Sus scrofa: one gene and its partner. The protein of the gene in region 1 interacts with the protein of each later gene in a pairwise test. Links are inferred from orthologs where the notes say so. Each region holds a gene or a part of one and is shown in the gene's direction. Other genes may lie near its edges.

What was found.
Region 2: the proteins of ZBED1 (region 1) and EFHC1 interact in binary tests that used the Homo sapiens proteins (3 or more experiments, as listed by UniProt). The two-hybrid records come from large-scale screens. The link is inferred for Sus scrofa from reciprocal best matches to the Homo sapiens genes ZBED1 and EFHC1.

What each region holds. Positions count from the first base shown.
Region 1 is NW_018085344.1:633,006-637,005, reverse strand, and holds the start of ZBED1 (zinc finger BED domain-containing protein 1), read left to right. Parts: upstream 1-1,200; 5' UTR 1,201-1,274; coding exon of another isoform or gene 1,275-1,383; intron 1,384-1,611; exon of another isoform or gene 1,612-1,829; intron 1,830-4,000. Other genes in the region: dehydrogenase/reductase SDR family member on chromosome X, read left to right, coding at 1,275-1,383.
Region 2 is NC_010449.5:46,300,405-46,303,920, forward strand, and holds part of EFHC1 (EF-hand domain-containing protein 1), read left to right. Parts: intron 1-253; coding exon 254-467; intron 468-1,025; coding exon 1,026-1,173; intron 1,174-3,516. UniProt on the Homo sapiens protein: Microtubule inner protein (MIP) part of the dynein-decorated doublet microtubules (DMTs) in cilia axoneme, which is required for motile cilia beating.

The sequences.
Region 1 (4,000 bases):
GTCACGAGGGTGGGGTGGGCCCAAGGCAGGAGTTAGGGGGCTGGGTTGGGTTGATGTCAGGGTAGGGTCTCTGGCGCAGGGGTGGCCTGCAGTCCCGGTGGGGTCCCTGGACCAGGGGTCTGTAGTCCCAGGGTGGATCTGAGTGATGGTCCTGGGGTCTGTGCGGGGGCTCAAGGTGAGGGCGGGGCTTCCCTGGGTCTCCTGTCAGCACAGGGGCACATGATCTGGGTGGGGGGGGTCCATAGTTCTGTGTCCTGGGGTCCAGGAGGGGGAACCCTGGGGTCTGGGGTCAGGTGGGATCCCAGGATCCAGGCAGGAGTCATGGTCCGGGCTGGGTCCTTGGGTCTGGTGGGGCACTGACAGACAAGCAGGGGTCCCTGGGGTCTGCAGTTTAGGTGGGGGTCTGGGAAGGGGGTCTCTGGGGTCCATGGTCCTGGAGGGGGTCTGGGGTCCCGGGTCAGGCAGAGTTGGAGGGGGGTTCCCTGGCATCCACAGTTTGGGTGAGGGTCTGGGGGGATCCCTGGGGGTCTGTGGTCCTAGTGGGGGTCTGGGGTCCCGGGTCAGCCAGGGTTCAGGTTCAGAGCAGGACCCCCTGGGGTCCGCAGTTTGGATGGGGTTCCGGGGTCGGGAGTGGAGGTGGGGGATCCCTGGGGTCCGTGGTCCTGGAGGGGGCTCTGGGGGGGGTCTCTGGGGTCTGGGGTCCTGGTCAGCCGGGCTCCAGGGTCTGAGCGGGGGCTCCTGTGGTCCTCAGTTTGGGTGGGGGTCGGGGGTCTGGGGGGGGTCCCTGGGGTCCATGATCCTGGAGGGAGTCTGGGGGTCCCGGGTCAGGCGGGGTCAGGGGTCAGAGCGGGCGTCCCTGGGGTCCGCAGTTTGGGTGGGGGTCGGGAGGCTGGGGTCCCAGGGGTCTGTGGTCCTGGTGGGGGTCTGGGGTCCCGGTCAGGGAAGCTACGGGGTCCGAGCGGGGGCTCCTGGGGTCCTCGGTTTGGGTGGGGGTCTGGGGTCTGGGGGGGGTCCCTGGGGTCCATGATCCTGGAGGGAGTCTGGGGGTCCCGGGTCAGGCGGGGTCAGGGGTCAGAGCGGGCGTCCTTGGGGTCTGCAGTTTGGGTGGGGGGCCGGGGTCGCGGGTCAGGCGGGGGCGGGGGTCGGCGCGGGGCCGGCGGGCTGGCGGGCGGGCGCGCGGGCGCGGGGGGCGGGCCGCTGCGGGCGCGTTTCCGCCGTCCGGCCGGGCGAGCGCCGAGTCCCGCGGGCGGCGCGGAAGCGGCGGCCGGGCAGCCATGTCGCCTTTGTCTGCGGCGCGGGCGGCCCTGCGGGTCTACGCGGCGGGCGCGGCGGTGATCCTGGCGCAGCTGCTGCGCCGCTGCCGCGGGGGCTTCGCGGAGCCAGGTCAGCGGCCGGGGGCGGGCGGGCGGGGTCGGGGCGCGGGGCCGGCGGGTGGCTCGCGGCGGCGGCGGCGGCGGCGATGGCGGCGGCGGCTCCGGGCCCGGGCGGTGCGTCCCCCGCGGGGCGCAGCCCCCGAGGCGGGGGCAGAGCGGGGGAGGGGCGCGCCCGGGCCCCGCGTGCCCTTGACCGCGGCCTGGGCCCGTGCGCGGCGCCGGGCGCTCCCGGAAGCAGGGCCGGGCGGCCGCGGGGGTGGAGGGCGGGTCGCCCCGCCCGCCGCTCCTCCCCGCGCGCCCGAGGCCGGGGTCTCCCTGCGGTGTCGCGCGCCCCGACCCACCCAGCCGGGCCGGGCCAGGGTCCTCGGGGTCCCCAGGGTCCCGCGCGCCTGCCCCGCAGCTCCCCGCCCGGAGGGAGGAGGGCGCGCCGAGAGCCCGGCCTCCGCGCAGGGTCAGGTAGGACGGGCTCCGGGGGGCGTGCGGGGCCCGGGGGGGCCTCGGGGGCAGGGCCCTTCGCTTCAGGGGCACCTTGCTTCTGCGGCCTTAGCGACCTGCGCCCGCGGCGTCTGCGACCCCGAACTTTCCGGTGTCGGGACCGGTTCGCGCTCCGAGCGCTGCTGGGGGGCCCGCGAGGCGCTGTGTGGCCGGGGCCGCGTCGGCTCCCGTTGGCGCGCCTGGGACTTCAGCCGCAGACCCGGAGCGTTCCTGTCTGCCCTGATTTGCAAAGGAAGCAGGATAACGCCAGGCTCTGCGAGCATACGTGGCTTTTTATTTTTAGATGAACAGTAACTCCTTCCCAAACAGAGGGGTCGGTGGGGAGTGCGGTGCTGTGTTACTTTGTGGCCGCCTTTGGCGTGTGGCCTAAGGTGAGAAATCCTCGGAGGTCCGCTTCTGTTTCCACGCGGTTGGCACCGCCCGCCGCCTGTCTCTGGCACACACCCCTGGGCACCCCTGAGAGACTGGGGTGCAAACAGGCCAAGTGCATCTGACTGTGGCTGTGAAAAATACTTTAAATCCCTCCACCGCCCCACGCATGGGGGTGCCTGCGGCCCCACTTTGCAAACCTGCAGCTCTGCGCCCCACAGATAATTTTTTTTGGCGCCCCACCCTCCCCGTGGGGTGGAGACTTAGGGAACTCTTCCAGGTGTGCATGTGACAGAAGCGTTTCGTTTTACTGTCAACCTGATTTCTCATTCTTTCTTTCTTTTTTTTTAAACGCTTTGAGAGCGATTAGAATGGAATAGAGCGAGTCCCCGCTGTGGCGCATCGGGATTGTGGCGTCTCACGGGGAGGCAGGTTCGATCCCCAGCCTGGCACAGTGGGTTAAGGGGTCTGGCGCTGCTGCAGCTTTGGCCGTGGTCCCCGAGATCGGATCCCCGGCCTCCATATGCTGCCGGGTGGCCAAAAAAAAGAAAAAGGTATTTATTTTGGAGTTCCTGTTCTGGCTTAGCAGGTTCATTGCTGGAGGTTTCAGATATTTCTGTGAGAATCGGGTTCCATCTCTGGCACAGCTCAGTGGGTTAAGGATCCGACGTGGCCCTGAGCTGCAGCTGCAGCTCGGATCCGAGCCATAGCCTGGGAATGTCCATAGGCTGCCGGTGCAGTAGTAAAAAGAAAAACACACTTGAATTGAGAGTAAGGAGCCAGCCAGTACCTGGGGTTTGGGGCGGGGGCGGGGGGATGGGGGGTACAGGCAGAGGACACCTTTTAAATCAGGCCTGGCCTGTAAATAGTAAACAACGTTGGAAAGCTGTCCCAAGTGGCCCCCATTGACCCAAAGGGTGGCACCCCCCCGCCCCACGGGACAAGGTAGGCGGCTGGCTGTGCAGCTTTGCTCCCCCTGCGTGCCTCGCGCCCCTTCGGGGCAGGCTCTTCACCTGCTCAGGGACCTGGCAAGTGGAGGGTGGAATTGGAGCTTGCCACACCCCATTCCCCAGAAGGCCCGTCTCAAAAACGTGTTTGTGGTGCATCCAAACCAGGCCTTGCCTTGTTGTTTCCACCTGTTGATTTAGAAAAAGAGCAGAAAAGCCTGTAACCGGACCCACTGGGGACCAAGCGGTGTGTGGGCGGAGTGAAGCCTTCCTCCTGCTGGAGCAGAGGGTCAGCTCCGTTTAAGAGGAACTGGACGAGCTCTGCAAGCCACGTGGTCTGTTGGGTTAGAAATCCTTGCAGAGCTGGGGGGAGCCAGGCACGTGTGTCCTGAGTGTCTGGTGGTGGCCCTTGTCCCACATGTCACAGTCCTTCTGCTTTTTGACCTTTTTTTTTTTGCTAACTGGACGTAACTTTTGGCAAGGAGACATTGAACGTTGCCCCAGGTGGAGCTGAGCAGTAGCAGGCCCAGTCCACATGAAGCATAGCTGGGGGTTGTTTGGTTTTGTTTTAAACCTCAGAGGTTTTCTGGAGTTCCTCTTGTGGCTCGGTGGGTTAAGACTCCGACTAGGATCCATGAGGACGCGGGTTCTGTCCCTGGCCTCGATCTGTGGGTTAAGGATCCGGCGTTGCCACGAGCTGTGGGGTAGGTCACAGGTGCTGCTCGGATCTGGTGTGGCTGCGGCGAAGGGGCCGACAGCTGTAGCTCCCGTTCAACCCCTAGCCCTGGGACTTCCATATGCTGCAGGTGCGGCTCT
Region 2 (3,516 bases), on another chromosome or scaffold:
CTCATGAAAAATAAGAAGGTCTAGCAACATTGTGGCTCCATTCCCACAAGGCAACAGTCAGCTGGAGGAGAGTTGGGGCAGCCTCCCTTAGATGAGGTGTTCTTTCCTGACCCCCCACCCCCCTGTACTGTTCATCGATATTATACTTCCCATGTCAGGTTTATACTGTCCCCTGGTCACTGTAAGTATTCAGTCTGGGGCATCTGGATAGATCATGGACCTTCATCACGTCCTCCTTTCTTCACCTTCCCAGGAATCCCCCATCCCGGAAGACAAGGGCCGCCGGTTTGTCTTATCTTATTTTCTAGCCACTGACATGATCAGTATCTTTGAGCCTCCTGTTCGAAATTCGGGGATCATTGGGGGCAAGTACCTCGGCAGAACTAAAGTTGTCAAGCCCGACTCCTCCATGGAAAACCCCATCTACTATGGCCCCAGTGACTTCTTCATTGGTGCCGTGATTGAAGGTAGGTCTCAGCACAGTTTAAGCTTTAAGCCAAATGAATGGGTTCTTATTTGGGATTTAACTCAGTTAACCCTTGTAGGAGGTAGTTAGTCTGCAGTCTAGTTGAGATAAAGCTAATATTCTCGTACATGTGGCACAGTGTCTTAATCTCCTCCTTCATCAGTTAAACTGTAAGTGGGGGTCTTCTGTTGGCTGTAAGTGAGCTTCCTAAACACTGAGCAAACTACTGTGTATTAGCTTAGAGAGCTATTGAAAGTTCACCAGTCTGGGAGTTCCCGTGGCACAGCAGAAAACGAATCCGACTAGGACCCATGAGGTTGCAGGTTCCATCCCTGGCCTCGCTCAATGGGTTGAGGATCCGGCGTTGCGGTGAGCTGTGGTGTAGGTCGAAGACTTGGCTCGGATCCCTTGTTGCTGTGGCTGTGGCGCAGGCTGGCGGCTACAGCTCCGATTGGACCCTTGGCCTGGGGACCTCCATGTGCTGTGGGTGTGGCCCTAAAAAAACATAAAAACAAACAAAAAAACATAACCAAGTGAAGCGTTTTTCTCCTCTCCCCAGTGTTTGGCCACCGGTTTGTCATCCTCGATTCCGATGACTATGTTTTGAAATACATGGAGAGCAACCCTGCCCAGTTTTCCCCAGAAGCTCTCCTGTCAATTCAGAACCACATTCGAAGGCGAGACACTCCTGCACTGGAACTGGACAGGTATGTTTGACCATCTGAGGTCTGCTTTGGCTGTGGTACAGTGACATACTCAGGGAATAGACGTCTGGGTCATCACATTCTAGATTCTCAGATTTCCTTCTCCAAATGGGAGTCCCTAGACATACACAGGTTACCTGGGTCCAGTGTGATAACTAGTAACTTAGGACCTTTTCAACTTCAGTTATTCAGCAAATACTTATCAGATGCCTAGTATGTGTCAGACACTATCATGAGGCCCCTGGGCTTTTATTAGTAAACAAAGAAGTTGTTGCCCTCATGGAGCTGACCTTCTAAGCAGCGAGTATCGCTAATAAGCAGCACAATGAGGCAGTTACACGGTGTGTTAGGTGATGAGTGCCATCGGAAAGTGCAGCAAAACAAGGGAGGGATGGGTTACAATTGATTGGGGAAGGTGGTCACACCTTCCACAGGTGACCCGGAGCAAACACTTGAAGGTGAAGGAGTTCCCTGTGTGGCTGTCTGGAGGAAGAGGGATTGGTGAGCCTTTAGACCCTAAGTATTAGCCTGCCCGGAGAACTCAAGTAACCCTGGTAAGAGGTAGGCTGTGATCGTGGCTGCCATGGATTGGGTGAGAGGAGAAGGAGCCAGAGCTGGAGTTACAGCATTAGCCAGGGGCCAGAGGGTGTACGACCTGCCAGGTCTTTGGGAATAAGTTGGCTTTTCTCTGAGTGAAAGGGACAACCATCGTGTGCTCCTGAGAACAGTGAGGGGCAAGATTTGACATCATTTGAAAATAACTGGCCGTTTTTTTGTTTTTTGTTTTTTTGTCTTTTTGCCATTTCTTGGGCCACTCCTGCGGCATATGGAGGTTCCCAGGCTAGGGGTCGAATCAGAGCCATAGCCACTGGCCTACGCCAGAGCCACAGCAACGCAGGATCTGAGCCGAGTCTGCAACCTACACCACAGCTTATGGCAACACTGGATCCTTAACCCACTGAGCAAGGCCAGGGATCAAACCCGCAACCTCATGGTTCCTAGTCGGATTTGTTAACTACTGCGCCACGATGGGAACTCCATGGCTGTTGTTTTAAGGACAGATTTGGAGGGAAATTAGTTTGGAGAATATGGCTGTAATCTAGGCACAGGATGGTGGTGTGTGGACCCGGGAAGCACCAGTGAAGATGGGGACAAGTGGTCTGATTTTGGATCTCTCTTAAGATAGAGCTAATAAAGCTTCAGCAGTATGGTATAGGGAAAATAAGAGAGAGAATGATAAAGGATGACTAAGGTTTTTTGTCCTGAGCAGCTGGGAAGAAGGGGATGGCCATGAACTGAGATGGGGAGATGTACCTTGTGGGTGGAGGAGAGTTTTTGGTGGGGGGATTTCAGTTTAGATATAGTAGGTTGATACCTGTTAGGTGTCCAAGTAGAGATGTCAAACAGGCTGTTGTAGTTGTAAATCTGGAGTCAGGTGAGGGGTCTGGGCTGGAAGTACAAATGTGGGAGTTGGGGCATATGGATGATATTTTAAGCCAGGAGACTGGGTGAAGTCTCTAAAGTAGTCATTGTAGACAGAAGAGGGAACAGTGCCAAGAATTGCTCTCTGGGATCCTCCAACCATAAGAGCTGGGAAAGAGACTGGGCAGGACAACCAGTGAGGTAGGAAGAGAGCCACGTGGGTGTGGTGTCCTAGAATCCATCCAAAGAGATGCAAAGGCCACCTCCTTTGCGTGGTGATGCAGAACTATAAATGTGGCCATGCAGGCAATCTTGGTACCAATGGGAAACTTCACTATTATTCTGTAGCTGTTAAAACTTTGGTCAAGCCATGGAAAACTCTGATGGTTATAAAAGTGTAGGGAAATAAAAACTAGTGAAATTGATTTCTATTTAGTATACTACAATTTAAAACAGTTGGAAACCCTGGGAATTCACAGTGTTGTATTTCTTTGTGAAAAGAGTCGTCAGAGTAGTGCCTGCCTTCTTGTTGTCATGTAGCTTATGACACAGAGCGAACGTTCTTTCTATGCCTTAGCAAATTGTCATGTTCCTTTCTAAGTTTGGATCAACTTCCAACATTTAAAAATTTTTGCTTTCAACGTTGTGAAATACATCCTTGCGTTCTTTTAATGACAGTGAACTATCTCAGAGTTCTTTTAATGTGAAGCGTGTTGCTGGCATCTGGGATATCATCATTCTTTTCCTTAGATCTCTTCCTTCATTCATGTCAGTAAAGCCTGCCTTCCTAAGGTCCTCTGGCTGCCCATCGGGAGTCCCTGGGACAGCAGCACGGTCAGCCGTCCACAGTCAACTAGTTCTTCTTTAACTCCACCATGCTTGACTTGAAGTCAACTTCTAGCTCTATCACTTGTTGTTTCTTTG